Linked DNA regions of Macaca fascicularis. The protein of the gene in region 3 interacts with the protein of the main gene of each other region in a pairwise test. Links are inferred from orthologs where the notes say so. Each region holds a gene or a part of one and is shown on either strand. Other genes may lie near its edges. The genes, in order: TMCC2, SAMD3 and HSPD1.

Region 1 (10,126 bases), on a different chromosome or scaffold from region 3:
CCCAGCTGCCCTAGTTGTTCTAGTGGGAACTGTCTGGCAGGCTCAGTATTTACAGAATGTGCTGCTTTTTGTGTATCTAATTGTGTCTTCACTGCCAATCCCATTAAGAATTTCCTTCAACAAGGAGTTGAAACATCTGATAGGACCTAAATTTTGGGTTGAAGTTTTAAAAGAGTATGGGGTTATCAGGAGCTGGGGAAAAGGGCTCAGGCAGCTTCTCAGTGGTGGTCTTAAAGGCCAACTCAAAACTCATTTCTGTTTTCATCTCTCCCTTAAGAAATGGCATCTGCCTTTGAAATCCCCGTAGACTACTAGCATGGTACATTTTTGGAATGAGGCCATAACTGGACAGGGTCCACCTTTGTCAGCCAAACACTGAAGTCTCTCTTCATGTAAGAAGTTAGAACAAAGCTGTTGGGGATAACAGGTATGTTTTGTGACTGTGCTAGAAAAACAGTTATTTGGCTGAGCGCAATGGCTCACGCCTGTAATCCCAGCACTTTGGGAGGCTGAGGCGGGGGGATCACGAGGTCAGCAGTTCGAGAGTAGCCTGGCCAGCATGGTGAAAACCCGTCTCTACTAAAAATACAAAAAATTAGCCAGGCATGGTGGTGTGCCCCTATAGTCCCAGCTGCTCGGGAGGCTAAGGCAGGAGATTTGCTTGAACCCAGCAGGCAGAGGTTGCAGTGAATTGAGATCACGCCATTGCACTCCAGCCTAGGTGACAGAGCAAGACTCTGTCTCAAAAAAAAAAAAAAAAAAAAAGAACAGTTATTTTCAAACCAAATGACTAAAGGCTTCCTTATGCCAGCCAGGTTAACTGAGTGATGTCCACCAGGGAAAACAAAGCTGGCTATAAGGACATGAGCCCCCCCACCCGAGCCCTCCCTAAGCCATTCTTGAAGACATCACACACATTCTGGCTCCTTGGCCTGTGTTCATCTCCTCCCAAGCCAACTCAATCTTGGCGGTTACTAAGATAATAGAGTGAGAAGAGGGTTTAAACTACAGCAGGAGAAATCTGAGTTAGACACAAGAAAAGGCTGTTGGAGCATTTGAAATATTTGTGAAAGGTTATGTCTTTGGAAAAGATAGCCATCTAAGGATTAAAATCACCTTTGTAAGATGGATTTGTAGAGACTTGGATAGTGGCTGCTCAGAAAATAAATGAACAAATGATTTACGTAGCAGTCTTACATGTTTGTGTTGAGGCCTCTGCCAGGTAATGTTAGGGACACAGATGTAGGTGCTGTAGCTCCTGCTGTCCAGTCACTCATATTGTCCTCAAAGGTTCCGTCCATCAGCAGGTGAGAAGTTGGATAACAGTTGGAGAGAGCACTGGAAGCGATGTCGCAAGGCAGTACACGATTAATTGCAAAATGAGTGGTGCAGATAATGAGCGCTTATGTGTTCAGAGCAGGGTGAAATCGCTGCAGACTGGTGTGATCAGAGAGGTCTTTATGGAGTGGCGAGGTGGTGAAGGATGGGTAGGATGCAAAGAGGCAGAGAGAGGGCACACCATGCTGGGAACTTTAATAAAAGTCTTCTATGTTGGTGTGTGCTGAATCAGTTCTGCCTAAAGACATGGTGGATGAGGTGACCTTTTCCCACTTGCTTTGGCTCCAGGCAGAATTCTCTAAGCAATAAAGGAGAAAGGAATCAAAATAAAATTGAGAATGGGGGAATTATTTGCCTGTGTGCCCATGAGTTGAGACTTTTTTTTTTTTAATGTCAGCTGTGAGGCTGAGAAAGAAAGAAATGATTCCAAAAAGCTTTCATCACTGGGTTTCCAATAGAAACTCCAAGTGGGCCTGAGCAGTTGCAGCTGCCTACTGTACACCACTGTGATCATCAGCACCAAACCTGGGGTAATGGTTCCGCTCCTGCTCCCGCCCAGGCTCCCCACCCAGAGCTTCTTAAGGGCAATTGGAGACTTCTTCAATCCACTTTGGATCCTGAGAGTAGAACTCTGTGGGTTTTTACAGTGATTAGTTCTCTAATGCTGGCCCTGTTTCCATAGAGACCCTATAAATAGAGGAACGTTGGCAACCTAGGCTGGCAAAGGCTCAGGGTGACCCAGTCACCCCACTGAACCCTCACAGCCAAACTGTTGGTAGGGCGGAAGGAGTTTCAAACCCAGGTAGGAGGAAGGGCTATGCAGTCAGCTGCCAGGTGGGAAAATTAGCTATAGATTAGTGTGACTTTAAGCTTTCCTGGGATTTGTTGAGAACACGGGGACCTGTAAAAATTAGAAACCACTTTTGGTCATTTTTAACCAGATGGTGCCAATGACACTGTACCCCGAGACATTTTAGTTTTGGATTTATGCAGCTGTGTTTGCAGATTTTGGAGCAAACTTCCCCTTTGGGGGACCCACACCCAGGGAGAAAGACGGATGAAGCCCAACTGTTCAGAAACCACAGCCTTCTCAGGAAGGATCTTTCAGAAGCCATCTAGTCCTCCCTTTCTTCCTGAAAGGACAATGTCACCCAAGGAGATGGGGTCCTTCCTGCCCTTTCAGATAGTTCCAAGGGAGGGACAGCCAACTCCCCTCACTTCCTTCCTCAGGGCAACTCACCCTGGGAGGCTCTCCTTTCTGACTACCTTCTGGCCAATTCTGGGGACGGCACTTCTTGCTTCGGTCTTATGGATCATGAAAGCCCTGTTTGTGTCCCACCTCTCAGCTCTCTACTACATGGCTTCATTTGGCCACCAGAATGGTTTCTGGCAGCCAGGGAAAAGCAAAAGTCAATGTGGAAAAGCAAGTGACATTTTAGGAGCTGGAACCTGTTAGTCAGAGCAGGTGGTGCTTTCTGCTGCGTTGGCGGCTAAGTTCCCTTAAGCTAGTCACCATGGTTTTCCTCACTTCTGAAACTTGTAGCTGGTTATGTGTATGTGCTGAGTTTTTTTTTTTTTTTTAAACACTTACTGTGTTATGTCAAAACTCCTTAACCATCTCCTCCCTGACACCCACATAAAGAAGCGGCCCAGCCCATGCGTCACTTTGCTGTTCCCGCCTCGCACCTTATAAGTGAGGAAAAACCCCTTCATTTGGAGCAATCTCCTCTCTCCGCACATTGTTCTTTAACTTCTTTTTTGTTCTTTCCCTCCTGCCTGCCACAGACTTTGATAGACTCCTTGGTCTGCTGGGGCAAAGGTCCTGGGGTCTCCTGGTCACTTTCCTTAGGTTTCCTTTACCCACAGGACAGCTCAGGAAGATGGGAAGTAAAGACTTTATAGTTGAGGGTCTTGTCCTATAACATGGGATGGGCAGATCACGACTGCAGTTCAGGGGACCTAACAACCCTTGACCCAGGCATTTTTGTTTTGCTCCTGCCTTTGATACTGTTCTGGGACGCATGCAAATACCCTACCTACTTTAGTCTTGAAATCAGTGTATGGGGCCGGGTGTAGTGGCTCATGCCTGTTATCTCAGCACTTTGAGAGGCCGAGGTGGGCGGATCACCTGAGGTCAGGAGTTTGAGACCAGCCTGGCCAACATGGTGAAACCCTATCTCTACTAAAAACACAAAAATTAGCCAGGTGTGGTGGCACACACCTGTAATCCCAGCTCCTCAGGAGGCTGAGGCAGGAGAAGTGCTTGAACCTGGAAGGTGGAGGTTGCAGTGAGCCAAGGTCATACCATTGCATTCCAGCCTGGGCAACAGAGCGAGACTCTGTCTCAAAAAAAAAAAAAAGAAAAGAAAAGAAAAGAAAAAAAAAAAAGAAATCAGTGTATGGGCCCATGAAGGTAAATTCAATTAGAAGTTGGGGGTTTCTCTCTGTGGCTTGGATGAGCCACTTAGCTATGCTGTGCTTCCATTTCTTCATCTGCAAAATAGACTGATGCTATGATGTCTCACATTTCTAGCTCCTGAGATTAGGCTAGTGTCAGATTATGACAGTATAAATCAGAATGCACTTTGCAAAATGCTGTTGTATAAATTTTAAAAGCAAATTGACCAAAGATTTTAGGCTCCAAGGCAATATGGCAGACATTAGTGGCTGCCATAGCTCTCCTTGGCACCTCCACTGGCCTCCCAGGGATAGGGGAGAAGAAATGCCTCAGAACTCTAGGACCTCTGCTGAAGTCTTTAGAAGGGAAACTCTTTCTGCCTGAGTGGATCCTCAGTGTTGGAGAAGCCAGTTTCGGAATGGGGGGAGAAGAGGAAGAGACCTGGAATAGAATGCTAGAAAGACAATTTGTATTATGGAATGTGACGATTTGGCAGAGGCAGCTGGGCAAATGCCAGAGCCAGCTGGCCCCATCACAGTACCTGGAGGGAGGTCTCGCATCAGCTTGGGCCTAGGGAAGAGGGAGGTGTCCTGGCGTGTCCCTGTTCTGGACACTGCAGGATCTGGCCCGTTCCAAGTCCATGGCAGAGTTGACATCTTGGTTCTTCCCAGCACAGATTCAGGTGAGCCTTGTGATCCTGCCTCAAGCTGGCCCCCAGGGGATGGTAACTCCTGTGGGAAAACCTGGCATTGTGTAACTTAGCATCTCGAGGGCCGCCCCAGAATTCAGTTCTTGAGAGGGAATCGTGGTATCCTTAATTTCCTCATCTCTAAAAGGAGATGTTCCAGTTGTTGGTTTTGTTACTATTTAGGAAAACCAGATAGGATAATGCAGGATACAAAGCTTCTTTAAAATGAAAAACCATTAGTTCGTGATGAGTTGTGATGATGTAATTTATCTGGTCTGTAAAATGGGTGATGTAAGGGCCTCACCTACTTTGAAGATTCTGGGGATGCTCAAATGAGGTGAAAAATGAAAATCCTAATATTTTACACAAATACGTAATGGTGTGGTTATTTGTATCCAGCTGTAAGTGCAGCCATCTGCACAAACTCAAGGCTGAGTTGTAAAGTAACCTAAGAGTGGGGTCAGCTCATTCAGAGGATGTCAGGTTGCTTTTTCTTGGTTTCTATATGGTCTAGATTTTCTGCTCTGTAAGGTTGTTTCTAGGGGAAAAAAAAGAAAATCCAGTCTGTGTAATTTTTTGGAACATTTTTTAAATGATTGAGGCTGCCTGGTAAGATTGTAGGTTGTTCATCACAGGAAATCCTGCTATGGCTCATTGAGTCCCACATGGCTGGGTCCTGAGTTTTCCTCTAAGGAGCTGCAGAATGTGAGGTGTCTCCTGGTCCTCCAAGTCTCACCCCTCCTCCCACTGGCTCCAAAGCTCTCATAGAGGGCTCAGCCTGGCCAGATAAGCCGTCCCCTGACAGAAGCAGCTGTCTGGAATTATCCCACAGTTGCTCGCCCTGGCAGGCCATCCAGCTGCCCCTCTGGGAACAGTCTTGCTGGAGGAGCAGCTGGAAAATCTCAGCGACAGGGCTGAGAGGAAAGGCTGTGGCCAGGGCAGCACTGGGTTGCAGGGCCTCTTTGGGTCTAAGGGGAAAGACACTCATTTGGATAGCTTGTTCCGATGTGTATGCTGAAGAATTGGTCACATTACTGACTATGTCACAAGGTTTGCTCATAGAAGTAAAGTTTATTTCATTGCCAACCGCATCAGGAATGAGATTGGCTGCAAATAACAGAAAATCATACTAGAGTTGTGTAGACAAAGATGGGTTTATTTCATGCAACAAGAATTCCAGGATAGATGTTCACAACTGGTTTGGTGGCTCCATAGACTTTCAAGTTCCCAGGACTGTCCCTTGGGCTCCACCATCTGTGTGCAGGCCCTCATCAGGTTGCAGAATGGCCACTGCATCTCCGGGCACTGCATTCCCATTCCAGATGGGAAGATGTGGAAAGGACCAGTGCCTTTATCAGGAAAGCAAAAGTGTTCCCAGAAACTCACCTTGCTTTTTGTTGGCCCAAACTGTCATGTGGCTACTCCTAGCTGCAAGGGAGTCTGATGAAGCAGGAATTTTTAGCAAAGTGATTTAAGTCCTTGCAGTTTGATTGGTAAGAAAGAAAGAGAAATAGATATTGGGTAGGCAATTAGCAGTGTCTGCTACAACAGTGTAACCTGATTGTATGACCCTGATTTTCCTGGGCGAATGTTGGAATTGGGCATCTTTGGAAATCAATGCTTGGTGGCCTGAAAGAGCTGGTACAGCTTGAAGGGATGTCTAACTTGGAAGGAGGGAAGAACTGGGGCTGGGGGTATCAATGTAGAGGGATACAACCCCATGAGCCAAGTGCTACCTATGTATGCCATTAAGCCTCAGACTGAAGCCCTGAGAGCATCATTCCTAGAAACTCTGAATCTACATTTTGATTGGGAATGTCCTGTGGGAAAACCATGGGGGCACATCTCTTTGGGAATGAAAGGATGGGTCTGGGTTGCCACCTTTTCGCAAAGTGACCTTTTATGCACGACATGCCATCTATAGAGATCTTCCAGGTTCAGATGGCTGCATTAGCTATGCCAGTCCACCAAGGACAGACCCTTCACCTTCACCCCACACTGACTAGGCAATCAAGAGCTTTCCACTCACCAGGGTTCTTCATCTCTCCCCCTTCAGAAAATCCAGCAGCTGTCAGAGGGCTCCATGTTTGGCCACGGTCTGAAGCACCTGTTCCACAGCCGCCGTCGGTCTCGGGAAAGGGAGCACCAGACGTCTCAGGATTCCCAGCAGCAGCAGCAGCAGCAGCAGGGTATGTCCGACCATGACTCCCCAGATGAGAAGGAACGCTCTCCGGAAATGCACCGCGTCTCCTACGCCATGTCCCTGCACGATCTGCCTGCCCGGCCCACTGCCTTCAACCGTGTGCTGCAGCAGATCCGGTCCCGGCCCTCCATCAAGCGGGGCGCCAGCCTGCACAGCAGCAGTGGGGGCGGCAGCAGCGGGAGCAGCAGCCGGCGCACCAAGAGTAGCTCCCTGGAGCCCCAGCGTGGCAGCCCTCACCTGCTGCGGAAGGCCCCCCAGGACAGCAGCCTGGCCGCCATCCTGCACCAGCACCAGTGCCGTCCCCGCTCTTCCTCCACCACCGACACTGCTCTGCTGCTGGCCGATGGTAGCAACGTGTACCTCCTGGCTGAGGAGGCCGAAGGCATCGGGGACAAGGTGAGGTGGGCCTTCTGGGGCAGGGGGAGACTCAAAGGCAAGGGCCATCTGCTGAGGGGCCTTGAGATCTGGGGAGCTGAACCGGGGGCCCTGCCTGGCAGATCCTGACACCCTGCCGCCTGCATAGTTATCTGCCTTGGTTAAAGGAGTCAGATATGACTAGGCCAAAAACAAGAGATGATCCCCAGGATGGCTAATTTTTGTTTCCTCAGGGTTTTGTTTTTCAAAATTGTGTTTTGTTCATACTGGTATTAATGTTGACTTGTTTTCCTTAAATGGGCTATCAAGAAGCAATATGTATAGTAGTTTAAAGCATAGACTGGAAGCAACCCTGGTTCTGCCACTTACTCAGTTAACCTCTTTATGCTTGTGTCACCAGTGGAAAATGAGGATAATAATAGTACAGTTGTAGGACTAAATGAGTTAATATATATAACATACTTGGAATAGAGCCTGGAGTAGTATCATCTTTACTATTGGCACCAACCAAAGAAGATAGGGAATCCGTGAAGGGTGATTTGGGAAGGAGAAAAGCTAGTTTGGCACTTCATGAATTTATATATTCGTTCTTTTATTCATGTAACAAGTATCTATTGAATCCTTATTTTGTGCTACAAGAATGAACAAGCCAGTGTTGCTGTCCTTGTGGAGCTCACTCTAGAAGGGGGACGAGTGGGTGAATGAACAGACAGATGGGAGCTGCTGTGGGAGCTTCAAGGGAGAGGGGACTTGAGGAGAGAGCAAGGAGCTGGCAAAGACCTGTTTGAGGAAACCATTGAGCTGAATCTTAAATAATTTAGCCAGGCAAGAACTGGGAGAGGGGAAGGGGGAAGGGAGGGCATAGGACGTACAAAAGCACACAAGCTGGTGCTGGGGGCTACTGGGGGTTCATTATGGCCAGAGCATCTAGCACTTTTGGGGATTGACAGGTAGGCAGAGGCCACATCACAAAAGGCTTTGCCATGTTGAGTCTGGGAATAGTGTGAAGCTATCAGGGGGTGCTAGGCAGGAAACTGGCAGGACGAGGTCCCTCTAGGTCTCAATATAAAGAGTAGATTGGGGCAGGCACGTGACTCACACCTGTAATCCCAGAACTTTGGGTGGCCGCGGTGGGCGGATCACTTGAGGTCAGGAGTTCAAGATCACTATGGCCAACATGGTGAAACCCCGTCTCTACTAAAAGTACAAAAATTAACCAGGCATGGTGGTGGGCGACTGTAATCCCAGCTACTCGGGAGGCTGAGGCAGGAGAATTGCTTGGACCTGAGAGGCGGAGGTTGCAGCGAGCCAAGATCAAGCCACTGCACTCCAGCCTGGGCGACAGAGCAAGACTCAGTCTCAAAAAAATAAATAAATAAAGAGAAATAAAAGAAATGGGGGAATTCTCTAGTTGAGGAATCACAGGAGAAGGAGCGTGTTTTGAGGGGAAGGTGATGAGTTCAGTTTTGGACCTGTTGAGTTGCAAGTGCCTTTGGGAGCTGTCCAGCTAGGGAGGACCAGCTGGTAATTGGGTCTGTGGGGTAGAGTCCTGAGCCGGGGCCAGTGCTCTGGGAGCTGGCACTGAGGTTGAAATCATGGGTATGGGTGAGGTCTTCAAAGGAGGATGTGTCGAATGAGAAGGAGGCCGTGGACAGATCCAACTGACATATAAGTGACAGGCCAAGCACCAGGAGCCTGAGAGAGAGCAGTCAGATGGATAGAAGTAAACTTGCAGCATAACAAAAGAAAAATGAGCTTGAAGGAGGAGGAAGTAATTAGAGTGAAATGCATAGAAGGGGCAGGTCACATCTGGGTTTGGAAATGTGCACAGGCAGTAGCAAGCAGTGGCTGTCATTGGGAACCATGACCTGAAGCCAGCTTCTGTGGATTAAGGAGAGGGTGGAAGTGGAGGCAGGTGTGTAGCTTGGCTGGGAAGAAGGAGGGCATCAGGTGGAGGCAGTCTGGTTTTGTTGGTTTTTTCGAGTCAGGAAGCACCTGAGCCCACCTCCATGTTGACTGGAGAGGGCCCTATTAGGGAGAGACCGAAGATAGCAGTGAGGAAGGGGAATTCTCACTGGGGTGAGGTCAGTGAGTAGGTGAAAGGGTGTGAGATCCAGATGTCAGCATGGTCCTTGGTCACAAAGAGTCACCTCTGGGAGGCAGAAATGAATTCTTACTTTGTTTTTATTTTCTATGGGGGAAGAAACCAAAAGTGCAACTGTTTATTGTGAATAGTAGGGGTGGTGGGAAGGGCTGGCTTGAGAAGGGCTGTAAAGTTTTGGCTTGGGGCAGAGCAAGGCTCTGAGCAGGAACTCACGGGTGACCTGTCTGGTGTTGTAGAGGCTCGTAATTTGTGCTGGCAGCACCCTAGTGGTTGCACATTGTTTTCTCTGTAGTGGTCCTAGCCAGAGGGTAGGAACAGAGCTGAACGATTATCTGGCTAATCCAGGGTTGGGGGTTGCTGGGAGGGCATGTAAGGGTGACAGAGGAGTTGGGGGTTTGGATCAGAGAATGCTTGAAATCTTGGCTAGCAGAGAAGGAGGTGGGAATAGGAGAAGGCTGATGAATGTGGAGAAAAGGAGATGGGGGTACTGAGGGAGTGAGGGAGCAGGTATGTTAAGAATAAAGAGGAGTGAGAGATAGGAGAGGGCATTGGTGTTTACGATTTGGGGGATGGGATAGGGAAGACAAAGGTCCGAGTATACTCATAGAGCATGGCAAACAAGGAATGAATGGAAAGATAATTTGCAGTGGCAAGAGCTGAGAGGCTAGGTTGTGGGATGGGCTGTCCACAACATGGAGATGCCCCCTAGGACAGTGGTCAGGAAGGAGGGCAGCTGGTAGCTTTGATGACTGGAGGGTGGGGGAGAAGAGTGCAATGGCAGGGACCTCAAAGGAGGCCGGGCTAAAGCAACACTGAGTACAGTAGAATGCTGGTCCCATATCCAGAGGGCACAAAATGGGGGAGGAAGAGGAAGAAAAAATCACTGCGATTAATGCGGGCTCCAGGGCAAGCGGAGCTGCAGTAAGAGCCTGCAGGGGCCCAAGTGCATGACTGTGGGCAGGAGGCAGCTTGTTTGTTGTGGAAGGAGGAGTCTGGAAGGTCCAGTGGGAGGGCAGATGA
Region 2 (10,681 bases), on a different chromosome or scaffold from region 3:
AGTTTTCAGCTGGATAGAAAGATGGCATTCGCTCCCCATGGCTGGCTGGACTAGAGGACTCTTCATCCCTGTAACGAAGAACGAAGAGGTGGGTCAGGCACTATTCAACAGGTGACATGACCATTGATCTCACAGCAGTTCAGAGGGTAGCACCAGCCCAGAGTAAATATCATGGTCTGTGTCCACTTCCAAGTTCCACATTAGACTCATGAGTAAGAGAACGGAAAGAAGGCCCCTCTGGCGTCATTTAATTAATTGGTTCTACGTGCCAGGAGGCAGACTGCTGCCAGTTCATAATGCTGTTTTCACCGATCTATCCTATTTTGAAATGGCATTAAGACAATATTTTCCAGCCGGGCGTGGTGGCTCACACCTGTAATCCCAGCACTTTGGGAGGCTGAGGCAGGCGGATCACGAGGTCAGGAGATCGAGACCATCCTGGATAACACGGTGAAACCCCGAGTCTACTAAAAATACAAAAAATTAGCCAGGCGTGGTGGCAGGCGCCCGTAGTCCCAGCTACTCGGGAGGCTGAGGCAGGAGAATGGCATAAACCCGGGAGGCGGAGCTTGCAGTGAGTCGAGATCTCACCACTGCACTCCAGCCTGGGCTACAGAGCAAGACCCCATCTCAAAAAAAAAAAAAAAAAAAAAAAAGACAATATTTTCCTTTATGAAATGATGGTGATTGTAGAATGTTTCTTTTTTAGCTAATATTCTTGTCTGGCAAAATTAAATGGTAAACTCTCAGATCCCTACTCTGCTTTCTGCCACTTTGGGAGACATTTTATTATCTGTGAAACCTCATGATCTTAGAAACACACTCTACTAACTCCCTCATTTTCCAAGTAAAGCAACTGAAGCCTAGAAGGCAAAGCAACTCCTGGTGAGCTACTCAGTAGCAGTGCCAGGATTTGAACTCAGTTTTTCACCTTCCTGACCAATGATTTTTCTACCAGTTTCAACAAGAACAACAACCAAAAAGCAACTGCAAATATGCCCGCCTATTTCATATCCCCATCATTTGCTGAGGTATCAACAAGATGCTAAATATCCTGCCCAGAAGTGGCCTACAAATCCTTTTTAAAATAACGTGCCAGGCCGGGTATGGTGGCTCACATCTGTAATCCCAGCATTTTGGGAGGCCAAGGCAGGTGGATCACCTTACGTCAGGATTTTGAGGCCAGCCTGGCCAAGATGACAAAGCCCTGTCTCTACTTAAAACACAAAAATCAGCTGGACGTGGTGGCAGGCACCTGTAATCTCAGCTACTCGGGAGACTGAGGCAGGAGAATCACTTGAACCTGGGAGGTGGAGGTTGCAGTGAGCTGAGATCGTGCCATTGCACTGTAGCCTGGGCAACAAGAGTGAAACTCCATTAAAAAAAAAAAAAAAAAAGCCAGGTGTAAACCAAAAATAAAATTCTAAGGCCCCCAACCATTTGAATGGACCCCTCCTCTCAGCTAAAGGCACTCCAAAATTAACCTGAAAAACTAGTTCAGGCCATGATGGGAAGGGAAGGTTGGACATGCTTCATTATACCCTCCTCCCTTTTAGAATTCAGGAAAAGTTGACCAGCATTAACATCAACACAGACATTAAGTCTAATAAGAAACATTTATGGGCCAGGCATGGTAGATCATGCCTGTAATCCCAGCATTTTGGGAGGCCGAGGCAGGTGGACCACGAGGTCAGGAGATCAAGACCATCCTGGCTAACACAGTGAAACCCTATCTCTACTAAAAATACAAAAAATTAGCCAGGCGTGGTGGCTGGCGCCTATAGCCCAGCTACTCAGGAGGCTGAGGCAGGAGAATCGCTTGAACCTGGGAGGCAGAGGTTGCAGTCAGCCGAGACAGCACCACTGCATTCCAGCCTGGAAGACAAAGCAAGACTCCATTTCAAACAAAAAAGAGATACATTTATGATCTATTCTCTCTGAAGCCTGCTACCTGGAGGCTTCATCTGCATGAGAAAACCTTAGTCTCCACAACCCCTTATAACCCAGACATTTCTATTGATAATAACTCTTTCAATCAATTGCCAATCAGAATTTTTTTTTTTTTTTTTTTGAGACGGAGTCTTGCTTTGTCACCCAGGCTGGAGTGCAGTGGCCGAATCTCGGCTCACTGCAACCTTTGCCTCCTGGGTTCACGCCATTCTCCTGCCTCAGCCTCCTGAGTAGCTGGGATTACAGGTGCCCGCCACCATGCCCAGCTAATTTTAGTAGAGACGGGGTTTCGCCGTGTTAGCCAGGATGGTCTCAATCTCCTGACCTCGTGATTCGCCTGCCTCTGCCTCCCAAAGTGCTGGGATTACAGGCGTGAGCCACCACCCCTGGCTTTTTTTTTTTTTTTTTTTTGAGACAGAGTCTCGCTCTGTCACTCAGGCTGGAGTACAATGATATGATCTCGGCTCACTGCAAACTCTGCCTCCCAGGTTCAAGCAATTCTCCTGCCTCAGCCTCCTGAGTAGCTGGGATTACAGACACCCACCACCATGCCTGGCTAATTTTTGTATTTTTAGTAGAAACGGGGTTTCACCATGTTGGTCAGGCTGGTCTCGAACTCCTGACCTCAAGTGATCTGCCCGCCTTGGTCTCCCAAAGTGCTGAGATTACAGGCGTGACCCACTGCACTGAGCTGCCAATCAGAAAAATTTTAAATCCACCTGTGATCTGGAAGCCCCAGCTTTGGGTTGTTCTGCGCTTCCAGTTCAAACAAATGTAAATCTTACACTGACTAATGTGTTATGTCTCCCTAAAATGTATAAAAGCAAGCTGTACCTGACTACATTGGGCACATGTCATCAGGACCTTCTGAAGCCGTGTCATAGATGCATCCTTAACCTTGGCAAAATAAACTTTCTAAATTGATTGAGACCTGTCTCAGAGACTTTTGGGTTCACACAGGCAACCACTAGCCATTAATGGGAATCTACTCAAACGGAAACCTATCAGCTATCTCAGATCTAGAATGCCATCACAGACTCTTTAGAAGGGACCTAAAGTATCACTTATTCTATCTACTTCATTTTACAATTGAAGAAGCTAAAACTAAAAGGGGTCAGACAAATTTCCAAGGCTGGATGAAGGGCTAATATCATGACAGGGGGTTGAAATCAGGTGTCTTGATAGCTAGCTTCAGGGTTCTTCTGTACACCAAGTCTCCTATCTTTATTAAACACTCTCTAAGGGGGTTTAATTACACAGCGTATTCTCATACCTCTTTCTACTATCATTCTCCTTGATGATTGTCAAGTGACAACATAGTTAATAAATATATTTGACAATAAGCAAATACAACCAACAAGCATTTTAATCAAATATAAAGCAGTAAGTTTTCTCTTCTCACATGCAATTGTAATTCTGCACCAGAAGAATTTAATCTAAATACAAGACAAACAAATCCCTAAGGTGAGTCAGCTGCTTGTGGGTAGAGTGCAAAGTCCCCACTCATAAATCCCCAGACAAACAGTGGTCCCAGTCTTGGCCATGTTTGAAACTAGCTTTCTTAACCCGGTTAACAAAGTTTCATATTTAACACAGGACTATTTTAGTCTAGGAGAAAAAGGACAGATTTGCTCAAAGATTGTGATACTCCTAACATCAGTGTGAATTAAAGACGAGGTAAGTACCATATTACTTTTCACAATGTACAGATGAAGAAGCAGGAATGCCAACATTTAATATAATCAATCCAAGTCAGTGGTAGAACGAGGAAGGAAGCCCAGGTTTCCTGGCAGTCCAGCCAGTTCTCTTTTGCTTGAGAACATTACAAACTGATTTGCAGTGGAAACAAGACTGCCTGTTTTCTTCTAAGCTGTGCCTAAGGCAATATCAAGATTCCACTCAATGGAAGGGAACTTCCAGCTCAAAAGTCCTACTCATCCCAAAATACAAGGAAATTACCCTGATCTCTCTTTCAGGTTCCTACCCTTCCCTTGCTGGGAAGGAGTAAAAGCTTGCAATGGGAACTTCATCAAAACTTACATGTTCAAGAGTGTCCTCTTTTACACAGATATGCCAAAACAATGTTTAGAAATCCTTCAAATAAATCAGCTGGGGGCCGGGCGAAGCAGCTCTTGCCTGTAATCCCAGCGCTTTAGGAGGCTGAGGTTGGAGGATGGCTTGAGGCCAGGAGTTGGAGACCAACCTGGGCAACATAGTGAGACCACCATTTGTTTAAAAAAATAAAAATAGATTAGCCAGGCATGGTGTTGAGTGCCTGTAATCCCAACTACTTGGGAGGCGGAAGCAGGAGGATTGCTTGAGCCCAGGAATTCGAAGCTGCTGTGAGCTATGATCCTGCCACAGCATTCCAGCCTGGGGGTCAGACTGAGATCCATCTCCAAAAAAACCAAAAAGCTTTTTTTAAAAAAAAATCAATTAGTAGAATTTCCAGTCCAGCTCTATACCATCCCTTCAAGGCTACCTATTCCCCTCCATGTCCCAAATATTCAAATATTCTAGAAATAAACTTGCTTATGTCAGGTCTCTACCATTATACTACTTATCAAGGAGAAAGAGAGAAATCTTTATTATTACCAATCTAATCTCAAAAAATTAAAGTAAAAACATAGAATAGATTTTATCAATCATCAAAATCTTTAAAATTTATTTAATCTTAGAAACCTTACAAAAAAATCTTGAAAATGGAAAAATCAAATCAGAATGGCTGAAATGATCCCAGGGCATAGATGGATGTGTAAAATGAAAATTTCAGCCTTATAAATCCTGTATCATTTCTTTCCATTGCAGAAGTCAGTGATTAAAAAACAAACAGATAAAACCATCCCCAAACTTCAGAGCTTTTATCTGCCACCACTACTTTTTCTACATGATTTTTTGGGGTGTTTCATAGTATTCATTATTATAAGGATACTCTTAAAAAATTAGAAAACTCATGTGACAATAATGTGTTTAGCAAATTACATCGTAAAGGCAAGTAGAGGAGAGTGTAAGTTCATTACTCTAAGAAATCCTAGGAAAATAAATAACTAGATTAATAAATAAACAGTTTTGGGAAAAGCAAAGGAGCAATCAAGATGCCTTTTCCAAAGCCTGATCTTAAAACCAGAGCTTCAGGATCCGTTTCTCCTTCTGTTACATGTCTATTTCACCTGCTTGTTCCACAGCATTTTACATAGAAACTCCTTGCTAATAGGACTTCCCTAATGATTGGAATCAGTGTTTAAAAAATGGTGTATAAGAAAGTTTCTTGACTCTTAAAATTTTACAACGTCCTTTGCTCAAATATTAGAAATACTGTACATACAGTCTAGCAGAAAATGATCACAATTTTCAAAGGGCTTTAAACCCAAACGTCATGCTCTAGACACCATTGGGAAAACGGGAAAAAAAAAAAATTAAGGCCATTTATGAACATACTCACTCTCGGGCTGCTTCTGTTTGCATGACCAGGGCTGCCTCTTTGGGGTTTTCTGGGGACTTCAGTCCTTGAGTGTTCTGCTTGTATTTTTTAATTAAATCCATCAGAACAGCCTGGTGCCCAATTTTCTTTACCAGTTGCTGAACCATCCGATCATTAAGTGCGAGAAGAGCGGCCCCACTTACTTCTTCCTCTGGGAAATAGAAAAAAAATTAGTTTCTACATGGCTTTCTGGCAAAACACAGGCATTCTGAAGAGGCAAAATTCCCTCTAGTGATAAAAGGATCATCTAAACTTGTCCCCTGCCATTATAAATGTATCCATATTTTTGACAAAGACAGAACTCCAATGTTGCATAATTCCAAATCAATGCCTGGTCCTAAGAAAGCACCAGAACATGGAATCACAATAAAAAACTTATTATTTCCACATTAACACCCTCCCCATTCTAGTTCTCTCTAACTGGTATTGTTTTATAAAGAAAAAAACCTTAGGAAATTATTCTTCGTAATACCTCCTAGCCGGTATTGAACCTTATAAACCCAACACTACAAAAAGTACATACTGTATTACTTAAGAACAAAAGCAATATTAAATGCATATATCAAATATGTATTTTAAATGACCCGTAAGACTTTATTTTATTTGAGTTCTTGAAACACTATATTCTCCTGTGGATGTTACTTTCAAGTGGAAACTCTGCTACAGTCCATAAAGAAATGTAAAGTTCTCTACTGCAGCAACCCCACATCCACATTTACATGCACACAGACATTTGGCAACAAAAGTAATTTTCAGTAAGAGAGGACATCAGAATATCTAGGTTGCTCAATTAAAATTTTTGGAAAGTATAAACAACTCACCTTGAAACCTATGAACTAGCTCGCCTAAATTTTTCTCCACCAACCAACTGCAGACCTGCTCAACTGACCAAGTTTCCATTGCTGTCTCCTGTAAATATACCTGTAGAGCAAAAGGTCAGAGAATTCTCCAGCTTTTCTTTCTGATTGTGCCTTAATTTTTTTTAATAGCCCCTTCCTTTGCTAGACTCCTTTATACTCTCAATGTTAAGCTTTTTAAAAATTACGATTTTTACAATGTACATTTAAAAATTGCTAACAAAACACACACTCACTTTAAAAATAAGACCTGATTTAAAACTATTTCCTAGTATCTCATTTCTCAGATTTCTTCACCTTCTCCTACTTTTTTTCCACAGGCATCCTAAGCTTTACTAACAGACAGCCAGAGACACACAATGGTACCCAATCCTGTACCATTAACACCCAGGTTTCTTCACAAAGAAAAGAAAGGTGTGAAATTCACCAGTACCAGGCTCCTCAGGAAGTGGTTGACATTTACAGAAGGGGTGGGCAGGGGAGGAAGGGAGGAAGGATCAGATAAAAGCCTGACAGAGATACTTAGTAAACCAAGACTGGTTAACCCCTTGCTTCTCCTAGCTAGGAGAAGGAGATTGTAACTTACTGCTTCTCATTGTTTTCCTTTAGCAAGAGGAGGAAGTAGGACCCAAATTTCTCAGGAGAATCTGAATGTTTCTGTCCTTCCTTCCAATACTACTCTTACATATCCCTCTGAGTTCTAGAACTCTATTGGACACTGTTATGATTGGTGAGATAACTAGGATAAACTACCACTCTGACTGAAAATTTTTTACTTAATTGGGCATATTCAAAATTGGAAAATAATTAAATATGTTAATAATTATTGTGAAAGAAGCGTAGGCAAAGTTTGCAAGATACATTCTTTAACTATTTCAGTTATTTTTGCATGCCGCTTGTCTCCAACCACTTAGAAAACTTAAAGCTATTTCCCTAAGGAAGCTTATTTCTGGTTTTTGTAATTAAATCCAAAGGACTTCTGATGGACTTGGAGGCGGGGTGGGTGGGGAGGGAACTGAAATAAATTTAAAATATTTTAACCTTTTATCATTACTTGTCAATTTGAAATCTCAATCTAAATGATATAGATTTACTTGTACATTAAGATACTGACTATTCTATAAAGACCAAGGAAAAAGCTACTCTTGGAGAAATGGAATCATAAGGAAAGATAAAAATGTTTATTAGTCGTGAATTTAAATTTTATTGATGGAAGTTTTAAATAGAACTATTGTTGTATTTTTCATTTTTGTATATTTAAATAAGTTACAATTACGAACATTATAGTTAAAATAGTGGAAAAGGGGAAAGATGTTTACCTTGCATATGTGACAAGCTGGAAAGATAGTCTTCAAGAATCATTTCCTAGAAAAACAGGTAGACTTCAAAGTATTAAGCCTCATACTCATAAGTATTCACAAACACCAACTTGAAAAATTGAAAACAAGGGTTAAATATAGAAGAACATCTTTCTGAATTTCAGCAGTGGATTTAATTTGCTATGACAAACAGTAGCCATATAACTCCTCCCCTAGGCTAAGCAGCAATAGCAGGGTGTGAAAAGTCATTATTTGCGAGACTCTGGTGTAAATTAAAAATCACACCTTTCTGTCACACTTCTGGCTTCCTTGCGAAGATTAGGACTTAGGGAAAAAATAGAAAATAAAGAAAAAATAAAACAATTCTCTAAGCTCTACGATAAAAAGGTATGCAGAGCAGAAGATACTGCCTTATAGTCATCTATGGATAAAAGGAAACTTGAAAATAAAATGAGTACTTGGAAATGGTCACGTATTTTTAAATTTGCAGATTTTTACCACAATTCTACTTCTGGGAAAAAGAAAACAGGTTAAATTATAATGTCATACAAACATAATAACATTAAAAAGCATATAGTTTTTGCCCAGTAGTTTTTCTGGAGAGTTTATAAAACGGTATCACTGACTAAACAATGTAACATCTTTTGAGTAGTAACGTTACAACTTCTTCTCACATAAATTATGGATATGTTATTTATGATCTTCTACACCATGAAGGCATAAACTATATATCAAATGAGAAAAGATATATCTGGTAGCTTTATTCTGAGCTTCAGAAACATCTGAAAATATTTCAAAATGTGAAGGCAAGCATTAACCCTAAATAGTTGAAGGCACAATAATTTTTAAGAAGAATTAATAATACTTTACTAATTAAAGTATTCTTTAATAAAATAATTCTTTAATACTTAAAGAATTAATAATTCTTTAAGAAGAATTAATAATTAAAGATTAATAATTTTTAAGAAGAATTATGTATGAATGCTCCTGCTAAACCATTCCATTATTTGATTGAATTAAAAATCAAGAAAATAAATTTGTATTAAATATTACAGGGCTTCATCTAACTAAAGCCAAGAAGAGGTAAGACTTTAGCTAAAGCAGCCTGAATATGGGTAAGCTTTATTTAATAAATTTGTTAAAACTACAAAGGAAGATTATAGGGTCATCTGCTGTGAATGTGATTTATAATCTTCAAGGGGCAATCTAACATAAAAACATCAACCACCAAAGAGCACTTTTTAAGAAACTATGAACACTTTTTGTCATCTTTCTTTCTATTTGCATTTTTAGTTTTATTCCTCTGAAGTCCAAAAGCTGAGACAATAAAAGATTCCTAAAAGTTTTGCTGGCAGCATATGCCGTCTCCTGGATCAATACCTCATTCTGCCCTGAGAAAAAGTATCTCCTACCGTGGCTGAACTTGAAGGGACGAAACATTTATCAAAAATCAGTTCCAGGCTGCGCGTGTATAAAAGAAGGAAAATTGAGGTACAAAAATAAGGATGTGGCTGTCACATACAACAATGTCGGGGCAATTCTCTTGGGTAGCAGCCTTGCTACCATGGGAGGTGATAGTGTTGTAGGACTCTCTCTTTAGTTCAGCTAAGAGTTGGGTTCTTGTCATACAGCCATGAAACATAAGGCTCACATTCACTTTGAAGGGTGAGAAAAAAGGAATTTATTGGGCGAAAAGGAAAATAAGGGGAAACTGGCTCTCAGCAGAGCGAGAGTCCTGCTAGTATATGCTTCTCATCTCACAGATTGAATTCCAAGTTCCCACACCAGGATAAGAGAGGCCAGGTCCTCCTTGCTGCAAACTGCGTGAACTTCCGTGGCTCCATGCCATTCTCTTAGTGCGCAGGCTGGTTGGAGGTTCTCCAGGGACCTCTTCGTACTCCGGTGTCTCAATAGCAGCATGATGTTCCAATGGAACATAACATCTCATCCACTATGGCCTGATGATGTTCTTCCAACCATCGCCAGACCACATGAAATAAACACTGAAATATTCAACTCAAATACTTTGCATATGTTAGTCACCAAGATGTTTACTGACTAGATAGCTAGCCCAAAGTGGGGTGGATGATGATACACTAAAGAAGTTAGAAGCCTTACTAAGAAGATAAGATACATAGATAAGCAGAATATGATATACAGCCAATTATGATGGATGCTTTAGAAAGCACCCTGAGGCTGGATTTTCCCACAGTGTCCTGGAAGCAAATGGATCTTGATTTGGAATCTAAATAATGGACATAGTTTAGATAGCAAAAAAACTGGAGAAAGCAGGACCAATGTAATGAACTCAAAGTAAAAAACCAGAAATAAACGAGTCATGTTTTGGAACCTCAGGGAGGACCATGCTGCTTGGAATAGGCACCACATGGTAGGGAACCACAGGAGACAGGGTCTGAAGATTGCAGAAAGGCTTAGAATGTTAAGAGTTTATAGATATGCCTAAGCTTGGGAGAGTCATTGAACTGAGAGTATGTTCCATGCTTTGGAAAGATTATTTAGGCAGCTGAGTCAAATAAATGACAGAAAAGCATTCTTTCTTGAAGCAAATTGTGTATGAGATGGAAGGCCTTAGCCTTTACTAAACATTCATACATGCACCAATTTTCCTTCGTTTTTGAAAACATAGATATTTATATTAATGTTTTAAACATTTAAGGAACAAAACTATTAATTTTTTTCATACATCCTGGTCTGAAAGGGAGTGACATCTATAAAGCTTGCAGACACCAAGCAGGTGAAACACACCAAAAGGGGCTGTCTGTATCCATTATGCTAAAGCATATGAAACAGTCATTTTTTAAATTATAAGGATTTATTTTTATTTTATTTTTTTAAAATTTTTATTCCCATAGGTTATTGGGGAACAAGTGGTGTTTGGTTACATGCGTAAGTTCTTTAGTGGTAATTTGTGAGATTTTGGTGCATACATCACTGGAGCAGTATTCACTGCACCCAATTTGTAGTCTTTTATCCCTCACCCTTTTCCCCACCTTTTCCTGAGTCCCCAAAAGTCCCCAAAGTCCACTGTGTCATTCCTATGCCTTTTCATCCTT
Region 3 (10,580 bases):
GTGGAGATCGCGCCACTGCACTCCAGCCTGGGTGACAAAGCAAGACTCCATCTCAAAAAAATATAAGACGACGACGACATAAAAAAACACTAGGAGGATGCCAGAGCACCTCCACTATTGCTAAGTGGCCTTAGATACTTGGTCACTGGATGCTGAGCAGCTTTAGGTGAAGATGGTGGTCACTGACGATCAGGTAATCATGGAGAGCTTCTCAGCATCCTTCTTTTCAATGCTTACAAAACAAAGCTTAAAAGACGCAATGTAGCTGGGAAGTTAATTGGGGTGAAACTATGGATTACGGCTGAGCCACTGGAAAAATGTACCACAGCTGAGTGGGCTGACCCTGGTGAGCTCACTACTTTGTCATTGCTGCTGGCCGCCAAGGACAATCATCCCTCAAGGACTATGTGATGCCGTTTTCACGTTGTCTTACGGTAACTTGACAGGACGTCATATTCCTGGTATTAGATGCCAATATCAGGTTAGAAACTACACTGAAGTCTTCCCGTTTCCCACCTCAACTGCACTGAGGTCATACTGACTAGGTGAGCATGTGGCTGTTTTCCAGCCCTGACAAACTAGTGTCAAATAGAAAAGCATAAATATAACCCACCACCATTAAAAAATAATAAGGCAATGTCCTAACTTTAATGTACAGTAGTTGATTTTCCAAAATACTGACCAACTCTTAAACGTTCTAAAAAAAAAAAAAAAAGCTGCCAGGTGTGGTGGCTCACTCAGGCCTGGGATCCCAGCAATCTGGGAGGCCAAGGCAGGCGTATTGCTTGAGCCCAGAAGGTTCGAGACTAACTTGGACAACATGGCAAAACCCCCCATTTCTACAAAAGATACAAAAATTAATACGGCATGGTCGTGCATGCCTGTAGTCCCAGTCACTCAAGGAGGCAGAGGCGGTTGGATCACCTGAGCCTGGGAGGAAGGTGGAGGCCACGGTGAGCCATGATAGTGCCACTGCACTCCAGCCTGGGTGACAACGTGAGACTGTCTCCAAAAAAAAAAAAAGACAAGAAAAAGGAAAGTATAATTATTCCCTCAATTTACATGGTACTTGTGTACCTGGGAATTCAGTATGTTAAACCATGCAAAAAATACTTTGTATTTACATAAATTGGAGTTAGGAATGAAAACCTGTATACACAAATTATGGAACACCTTAAGACCTGTAACTCATTAGCTTGTTGTATTTGGAATCTAAATGTTGCAGTGGTGGCTCAAGCTTGTAATCCCAGCACTTTGGGGCCCGGCGCGGTGGCTCAAGCCTGTAATCCCAGCACTTTGGGAGGCCAAGACGGGGGGGATCACGAGGTCAGGAGATCGAGACCATCCTGGCTGACACAGTGAAACCCCGTCTCTACTAAAAAATACAAAAAACTAGCCGGGCGAGGTGGCAGGCGCCTGTAGTCTCAGCTACTCGGGAGGCTGAGGCAGGAGAATGGCGTGAACCTGGGAGGCGGAGCTTGCAGTGAGCTGAGATCCGGCCACTGCACTCCAGCCTGGGCGACGGAGCCTGACTCCGTCTCAAAAAAAAAAAAAAAAAAAAATTCCCAGCACTTTGGGAGTCCGGGACCAGCCTGGGCAACATGGCAAAACCTGTCTCTACCAAAAATACAAAAATTAGCTGGGCATGGTGGCACGTGCCTGTAATCCCAGGTACTTGGGAGGCTGAGGGAGGAGAATCACTTGAACCCAGGAGGTGGAGATTGCAGTGAGCCAAGATCGAACCACTGCACTCCAGCCTGGGTGACAGAGTGAGACTCCATTTCAGGGGGGGAAAAAAAAAAGTAAATCCATGGCTTGGTATCAGTATCAATCATGTATTAATAAAGCTAAATTCAGTATGAAAATGCACCTACCTAGAAAATCTTGTTTCCCAAAATTCTCTGCAGGTTACTTGAAAAACAGAAAACAGCATAAGCTAGAAAACCCTAAAACCATCTTAAAATAACTAAAGACTAACCACTCATTTACATATTTTTATTTGGAAATGTTTATATCAGCACAAGGAAATAATTTTGGAGACACTGGATGTCATTAGTTTATTATAAAAGAGAACTATGGAAATTATTTACATGATGAAAGATTTCAGAACTTCAGTGGAATGGGCAGCTTCATGTTGATGCCATTTCAATAGTGATTTATTTCAGTCTAGGTACTTTCCAAGAATGTCACCATCTCTAAATAGGAAATAATCCTGCAAGTGAATAAACCGTTAGTTAAGACACCTAATCGCAAATATTTGACTTCTTTTTAGAATTGTTAAGTTTACACACCTTGTCATCTAGAACTACTTTGGTGCCTCCATACTCTGGCAGAAGAACTTTATCTCCAACTTTCACGCTAACCGGTTGAATCTCTCCACCCTTAAAAAAGGAAGGATGTTTATTAGCAAACATATCTAGTTCACCCAACATAAACAGTTAACTTTTAAATCACTACAACTAATGAAACACACTCACTCAAATTCAATTATATTAAAAATACACTTGGTGGCTAAGTGATACGATTCATACTAGAATTGCAGATCTTCACTCAAAAATACCACTGTAGTCACACTTTTGAAATAATACACAGTGGCTTAAACTAAAACCTGACTCCAATATAAAAGTTCAAGAAAATATTCTGGAAAAGCTAACTTTACTTAACTAAAGCTAACTTTGTAACTGTTAAATATTAACGTAACTTATCAACTATATGAAATAAACCTGCAACGGTAGCCAGCACCCAGGAAATGCCATATACAAATGGTCATCTTTTCCTTCAACATACAAAAATGTAATATTGTTTTGTTCCCTCCAAAGTACAGATTTGGGGAAAGGGACTGCAGCTAAGTGTCCACTCCCCAAAGTCTTCCTATTCCTTCCTAACTCCATGACAGCTCCTCAATACAGCTTTCCTCCTCAGAAGCAACTGGAACAATGCAGCTAACATTATTTGGCCCCAGCGGCATTTAGGCATTTACTGTGTATTTTGGCTGACATCTTTAGAAGCCTAAGGCCTAAATAGTTAACTGAGGAACATCTAAAACAGAGGTGTCCAATCCTTTGGCTTCCCTGGGCCACAGTGGAAGAATTGTGTTGGGCCACACATAAAGTACACTAACATTAACAGTAACTAATGAGCTTAAAAAAACTTGCAAAAGAAATGTTTTAAGAAAGTTTAGGGATTTGTGTTAGGTGGCATTCAAAGCTGTCCTGGGCTGCAGGTTGGACAAGACTAACCAACCTGTTCCTCGGATAGGTACACCAACTAAGGCCCCAACTGGTTAAGATTAGGGCAATGTCAATGTGTTAGGGGTTAAACGAATAGTCCAAGATTCCTCTCAATTCTTTTTTTTTTTTTTTTTTTTTTTTTGAGACAGAGTCTCACGCTGTTGCCCAGGCTGGAGTGCAGTGGCGCGATCTTGGCTCACTGCAAGCTCCGCCTCCCGGGTTCCCGCCATTCTCCTGCCTCAGCCTCCTGAGTAGCTGGGACTACAAGCGCCCGCCACCGCGCCCGGCTAATTTTTTGTATTTTTAGTAGAGACGGGGTTTCACTGTGGTCTCGATCTCCTGACCTTGTGATCCGCCCGCCTCGGCCTCCCAAAGTGCTGGGATTACAGGCTTGAGCCACCGCGCCCGGCCTCCTCTCAATTCTTAAATGCCCCCTCATTTTACCTTGAAGCACATCTTTTGTCTTTATTTATTTATTTGTTTAGATACTAGGTCTCACTATGTTGCCCAGACTGGTTTCGAACTCCTGAGCTCAAATGATCCTCTTGCTTTGGCCTCCCAAAATGCAAGGATTATAGGTGTGAGTCACCATGCATAGCATCTTTTGTCTTATTAAAAATTTAGAATGTAAGGCAAACACTGATCATACTAGGCTACCAAATTGCTATTGAAGGCTTTTTTCTTTTTGAGACGGAGTCTTGCCCTGTCGCACAGGCTGGAATGCAGTGGCGGGATCTCGGCTCCCTGCAACCTCCGCCTCCAGGGTTCAAATGATTCTCCTGCCTCAGCCTCCCCAGTAGCTGGGATTACAGGCGGATGCCAGCACACCCGGCTAATTTTTCTATCTTTAGTAGAGACAGGGTTTCACCATGTTGGTCAGGCTGGTCTTGAACTCCTGACCTTGTGATCCGCCCACTTCGGCCTCCCAAAGTGTTGGGATTACAGGCGTGAGCCACAGCGCCCGGCGTATTGAAGACAATTTTTAATACTCGAAACTATCACATAAAATAAACATCATAGCATTGGTCATATAAAATAAGCAACTTTATATTAGTCATTTCCCTTTAAGAAACAGATTAGAACCAAAGCAGTTAATTATCTTGGACATGACATAAATTCTACCTAATAGGAGACTTTTAATACTCCAGAATTACTCCTTTTCCCTCCACTGCACACTATAGAAAAAATAGTTCCACCGCAGCCCCCATTTACCTTTCCTTTAGAACCCGATCCAACAGCGACTACTGTTGCTTGCAATACTTTTCCTTGAGATTTTTCTGGAAGCATAATGCCTCCTTTGGTTACAGTTTCAGCAGCACTCCTTTCAACCAATACTCGGTCAAAGAGTGGAAGAAACTTTCTAAACGCTTGTCCTGCCTGTAGGAAGAGAAATGTTTTGAAACAAAAACTAAATGTAATCATATTATCAACAGGCAACGCCACCGTGTTGTATACATCTCAACACGTTTTGGCTTCGAAAGTTAACACCAAACCTCAGCTTATTCGTTAAGGAAACGCATTTGAATGTACTAACCAATATTCCAAGTTTAATTCCCGATTCCTTACATCTGTTAAGGGTCGTTGTCGCTCCTCTGGTGAGCAACCAGACCAGCTTTAAGGTCAACCTTAGTTTATCCAAGGTCAAATGTTTTCCTTCTTCAGGGTTTTCCAGAAATTTTCAAGAAACGCTGGGTCAATCTCCCTGCCTGGCACCATGCTTTTTACCCAAGATATTACACATCCACAAAGGCCCTGCAGAGCAGGTGGGACGCTGCGCTTGCATCCGGGTTCCCGCCACCTGCCTTACACACCCGCAGCACACGCGCGTGCAAAGAGCCCCCGGAGAAGAAAAGGGTCGGGCAGGCCTTGCCGCTCCAAGGTGCCGGCGGGCGCTGGTCACTGAGTGGCCACCAATCCCTCCCGCCTAGCCCAACAAAAGAGGGGCGTCAGTGATCCCCGTACGCCTCAGACAGGCCCGGGCCTGCGGGCTTCGGTGCCACGCGGGACTCACCATGACTCCCTCCGCCTCAGACTCGTACTCTGCTCTAGTGTAGCGCCGCAAGGAGAGACTCGCGGCAAGGAGAGACTCGCGGCGCAGCCCTGGCGACACGTGAAAAAACCGCCCAGCGCGCAGGCGCGCTCGCCCCAACCCCCGCCGCTAGCCCCCTCGCCCCTCCCCGCGAGAAAGGGCGGTCGCCCCGACGCGCGCCGCGATTCGCCCCAAGGGCCCTGCGCAGGCCGCTGACGCGAAGACTCGGAGGCGGAAGAAAAGAGGAGCTGTTTCTAGGCTTTTCTAGGCGCCCAGCCGAGGTGAAAGAACTACCCCTTCGTCCCCTCCCGGAAATGACGCGATTTTACCCTTGACCCGTAGGGAGCGCGGCACTTTCCGGAAAGTTCTGGAACTGAGCGCGGCCCGGGAACTAGCCTAAGCCGGCGGGAGAGGGCTGAGCGCGCTAGCACACCCTGCGCGGGTAGGGAGGGGCGGGGCTCGCGCGCAGGGTGTGCAGATTGCAGGGGCCCGGCTGACGGGAAGGGGGTGGGAGCTGCCTGCACACGTGGTGCCCCGGGGCGGGGGGAGAGGCGGAGGGAGGGGACACGGGCTCATTGCCGTGTGCGCCCTGCACTCTGTCCCTCACTCGCCGCCGACGACTTGTCTCGCCGCGCGCACGCCCCGCCGCCGCCCCGCAGGTATGCGGCCTTCCCACGCCGCCTTCCCCGGCGCCTGCGACCCCCAAGTGGGCCTTCCTCCTCTGAGGTCCTGCTGGAGGATGCGGGCGACGACAACCTGGAGTTCTGCACCGCACCGCAGGCCCAGGCCCACGGGTCCAGGCCTCCCGGGTCCAGGCCTCCCGGGTCCATGCGGGTTCCATCACGTGCGACGCGGATCCTGGACCTCGGCTGGGCGCAGGAGGGACAACTCACGGGGATTGAATTTGGGGGATTGTAGCCACTTAGGCCCGCTGGTGCAACCCGCGCCTGGTCGACTTCGGGGAACCGGGGAGGGTGGTGTACGCGAGGGAACCGCTTTTTTCCCCCGCAGCTAGCTGGGATACCGCGCCTTCACTCTTGACCTTGCTGGGGGCGTTCGGAAAGACGTGGGCCCGCGCCGAGTGGGCCGGGCCGCCGCCCCCAGCATCGCGGCCTTGCTGGCTGCTCTGATACAGTAGCCTTGGGTGGATCCATGGAGATACTTTGCTGAGCTGCTTTTTGCACCGCCAGGAATACTTTCAGCTTCCCTGGTCACTGGGATTTGTAACTTGCCTCTCTCCGGCTGACTTGGTTTCTCAGGGGCCACAGTTGGAGTGGGTCTGCCCACAAGGCCGTTTTCGCGGTGAAAGATTAACTCGTTTTTGGCGGCAGGGATAGGTGGCCGTGGGGAAGGAGCTGCATGTGCTTTGTGCTAGTGCTATAGGTCAGGCGCCGGGGCGGCTCTTTAGCTTGCGGTAGTGGCTGATGTTCCGAAGCTGCGGCGCCTTCCGTCATTCAGGTGTAGTGGCTGGCAGAGGTCAGCCAGGCTCACCATCTCACGTTGCTTGCTCTGTTGCACAGGTGCGCATGTTTGTGCTGCAGCGCATCATAGGTGGTAGTACTGATTATCTATTTGCTTCCATCCCCAGAAATGCTTCGGTTACCCACAGTCTTTCGCCAGATGAGACCGGTGTCCAGAGTACTGGCTCCTCATCTCACTCGGGCTTATGCCAAAGATGTAAAATTTGGTGCGGATGCCCGAGCCTTAATGCTTCAAGGTGTGGACCTTTTAGCCGATGCTGTGGCCGTTACAATGGGGCCAAAGGTATCAGTATTTTTATTTTATTATAATTATGGTAGTATTAATAGCATTTTGCTCACAAATAGTCGCACTGAACTGTTGAACAGTACTTTCGTATCCATTTTTGAGAACTCAGTTTACATGTAAGAATTCTGAAGTATTGGTTAACTTTTTTTTTCTTAGACATGATCTTAAAGCTTAAACTGCTTCAGCCAGATTTTCGAAACTAGTTTGTTCAATGTGTGATGTAATCGGGTAGTAACATAGCTCAAGATGGATTCTTAAACTCGAGGTAGAATTTTGCTTGCCTAAGTTAAAATTTGGATCCTTTCTGAGTAGTTCATGCCAAGTGTAGAGAGAAGAGTTTAACTTATCTTCCATAATCCCTCAGGTATGTGCTTGTAGGTGCTAAATTTTTTTTTTTTTTTTGGTTTATTGTAAAATGTACACAACATAAAATTACCATTAAGTGTGCACTTTGGGGACATGGGGACATTAATTACATTTATGTTGTGCAGTCACCACCACCATCCATCTCCAAAACTTTTTATATGGGAAAATTGTAATTTTGTACTCATTATACAGTAGCTTCCCATTCTCTCCTCCACCTCAAGATGCTAGTTTTACCTATCGGTTTTCTGCTGTTCTCTTGTTCCGAAGCATATTTAAAATAAGTCTCATTTAATAGGGGTAATATTTTGAGGGGGGCTTTGAAGGTGGTGTGCGGTCAAGTGGTGCTTCATTTCAGTTTGAAGACAGTTCAGATATCAAGTGATCCAAACAACTGCATAAAACACAACATTTGCACACCTCACGAATAGAAAGTAGCAGCTTTAGTTCAAATCCAAAGGATGGTCAATAACTGTGCCATGGTTGAAGTTGTATGTTGAGTGAACTTGGAAGAGCACACTACTTGCCTTGATGGTTAATATTTTAAACGAATTTTAAAACAAGTCACATTGCTTTAAAAGATAACAGGCACTAACTAAAACTTAGGTATAAGTGATAGGAAGATTGTTTTATTCTTTGTCTTGTGTTCTTGTTCATTTTATAAGATGACAAATTTTAGTCCCTAGTATTTTAATCTTCTAAATTACTTAGTTCAAAATTATGCTCTTGGCAGAGAAACAGGTCATTCTGTCTGTAGACAAAGAATGTCGATAAACTTGCCCTTGAGATTCATGCTGCAAGACTGATAAAAATGACACAACTTATGTGGAGACTTTGAAGTAGTTGCTTTATTATGAAGACTGCTCATTTTTTAAAATATAAGTAATCCTTAGGGTATGTGTGATCCTGTTACATTTTTTTTCTTGTAGGGAAGAACAGTGATTATTGAGCAGAGCTGGGGAAGTCCCAAAGTAACAAAAGATGGTGTGACTGTTGCAAAGTCAATTGACTTAAAGGATAAATATAAAAACATTGGAGCTAAACTTGTTCAAGATGTTGCCAATAACACAAATGAAGAGGCTGGGGATGGCACTACCACTGCTACTGTACTGGCACGCTCTATAGCCAAGGAAGGCTTCGAGAAGATTAGCAAAGGTGCTAATCCCGTGGAAATCAGGAGAGGTAGGAATGTCTATTGTCACTACAGTGTTCTAAACTTCAGTGTGCTTTAAGGCATTGATTCCTTGGAGCTAAGGAGAGTGTCTGTTACTTTAGGAAATTGATCCTTCTCTCATTCCTCTTGGCCTGGAGAAATCTTAAACTGGGTTTTCCTTTAGCAAGTAGTGATTGAATGCCTGGCTGTATGGTGGGTAGGTACTGTTAGGTAATTTTGATGTTTTACTTAGTTGGTTTCTTTTGTTTTTAGAGACAGGGTCTTGCTCTGTAGCCTAGGCTGGACTGCACTGGAACTCCTGGACTCAAGCAATCCTCCTGCTTCAGCCTCCAAGTAGCTGGGACTACTACAGGCACTCACCACCATTCCTGGCTAATTTTTAGTTTAGTTTTGTAGAAAGTAAGATTGAATACACTGGATCATTCAGAATGTCAGAAAGTAATGTTTTTTGTTTTTTGTTTTTTGTTTTTTGAGACGGAGTCTCACTCTGTAGCCCAGGCTGGAGTGCAGTGGCCGGATCTCAGCTCACTGCAAGCTCCGCCTCCCAGGTTCACGCCATTCTCCGGCCTCAGCCTCCAGAGTAGCTGGGACTACAGGCGCCCGCCACCTCGCCCGGCTAGTTTTTTGTATTTCTTTAGTAGAGACGGGGTTTCACGGTGTTAGCCAGGATGGTCTCGATCTCCTGACCTCGTGATCCGCCCGTCTCGGCCTCCCAAAGTGCTGGGATTACAGGCTTGAGCCACCGCGCCCGGCAGAAAGTAATGTTTTCCTCAGTTTATTTTTTTTTATTTTTTTGAGACAGTCTCGCTCTGTCCCCCAGGCTGGAGTACTGTGGCGTGATCTACGCTTACTGCAAGCTCCGCCTCCCAGGTTCACGCCTCCCAAGTGAACCTCCTGCCTCAGCCTCCCGAGTAGCTGGGACTACAGGTGCCCACCACCATGCCCAGCTAATTTTCTTTATTTTTTAGTAGAGATGAGGTTTCACCGTGTTAGCCAGGATGGTCTCGATCTCCTGACCTCGTGATCTGCCTGCCTCGGCCTCCCAAAGTGCTGGGATTACAGGCATGAGCCACCGCGCCCGGCCCATTAGTTTATTTTTTCTTAATAGCACACACCGTGTTATTGGTTTGTGTTTTGTTAGTGCTTGTAACTGGAGTGCAACTTAATTAACAGATTTGCTCCTCAGCATGAACTTCATGGCAGTGTAGACTTAAATTCTAGTCCCATCTTTGTCATTTATTAGCTGTGTGCTAAGACTTGGTTTTCCTATCAGCAGAATTGCTGTGTATATCCAGCGTATGTTAGGGTTGAAACCAGGAACCCTCTTGTGAGTGAAGGTGGGGGAGCTATTGATAATTTTTTGTCAGAATTGGCATACTAATGTATCATTACCTCATATATTTCAATGTTTATGGACCAAGTGACTACACTTCACTAAAAGCAATTTTTTTTTTTTTTTTTTTTTTTTTTGAGACGGAGTCTCGCTCTGTAGCCCAGGCTGGAGTGCAGTGGCCGGATCTCAGCTCACTGCAAGCTCCGCCTCCCGGGTTCACGCCATTCTCCTGCCTCAGCCTCCCGAGCAGATGGGACTACAGGCGCCCGCCACCTCGCCCGGCTAGTTTTTTGTATTTTTTAGTAGAGACGGGGTTTCACCGGGTTAGCCAGGATGGTCTCGATCTCCTGACCTCGCGATCCACCCGTCTCGGCCTCCCAAAGTGCTGGGATTACAGGCTTGAGCCACCGCGCCTGGCTACTAAAAGCAATTTTACTGTAAATCACTAACAAGTATTAAGGTTATGAAGAGGACTTCCCAACACTTTGCATTGGATTTTTTTTGAAGTAACATTTCTCAAACAACAAGAGAGCTAGCACTACTCCCAGTTGAGCAAAATAGGACTGTTAAGAGTGATGTAAAACAAAAATATTTTGTTAGTTCATAATACATACTAAATTGAGGGGTTTTCAGATAATTGACACCTGCAGAGGCATAGTCACAACAGATTCCTATCACTTAAGA

The links.
Region 1: the proteins of HSPD1 (region 3) and TMCC2 interact in a two-hybrid assay, tested with the Homo sapiens proteins (2 studies listed by BioGRID). The two-hybrid records come from large-scale screens. The link is inferred for Macaca fascicularis from reciprocal best matches to the Homo sapiens genes HSPD1 and TMCC2.
Region 2: the proteins of HSPD1 (region 3) and SAMD3 interact in binary tests that used the Homo sapiens proteins (3 or more experiments, as listed by UniProt). The two-hybrid records come from large-scale screens. The link is inferred for Macaca fascicularis from reciprocal best matches to the Homo sapiens genes HSPD1 and SAMD3.

The regions. Positions count from the first base shown.
Region 1 is NC_088375.1:63,076,832-63,086,957, forward strand, and holds part of TMCC2 (transmembrane and coiled-coil domains protein 2), read left to right. Parts: intron 1-6,480; coding exon 6,481-7,023; intron 7,024-10,126.
Region 2 is NC_088378.1:34,198,192-34,208,872, forward strand, and holds the start of SAMD3 (sterile alpha motif domain-containing protein 3), read right to left. Parts: upstream 6,694-10,681; 5' UTR 6,670-6,693; coding exon 6,667-6,669; exon of another isoform or gene 6,525-6,666; intron 6,353-6,524; coding exon 6,253-6,352; intron 5,583-6,252; coding exon 5,393-5,582; intron 69-5,392; coding exon 1-68.
Region 3 is NC_088386.1:93,113,907-93,124,486, reverse strand, and holds the start of HSPD1 (60 kDa heat shock protein, mitochondrial), read left to right. Parts: upstream 1-5,387; 5' UTR 5,388-5,540; intron 5,541-5,611; exon of another isoform or gene 5,612-5,701; intron 5,702-5,859; exon of another isoform or gene 5,860-5,918; intron 5,919-6,847; 5' UTR 6,848-6,849; coding exon 6,850-7,023; intron 7,024-8,318; coding exon 8,319-8,571; intron 8,572-10,580. Other genes in the region: HSPE1 (10 kDa heat shock protein, mitochondrial), read right to left, coding at 2,162-2,212, 2,292-2,381, 4,443-4,607, 5,242-5,244. UniProt on the Homo sapiens protein: Chaperonin implicated in mitochondrial protein import and macromolecular assembly. Together with Hsp10, facilitates the correct folding of imported proteins.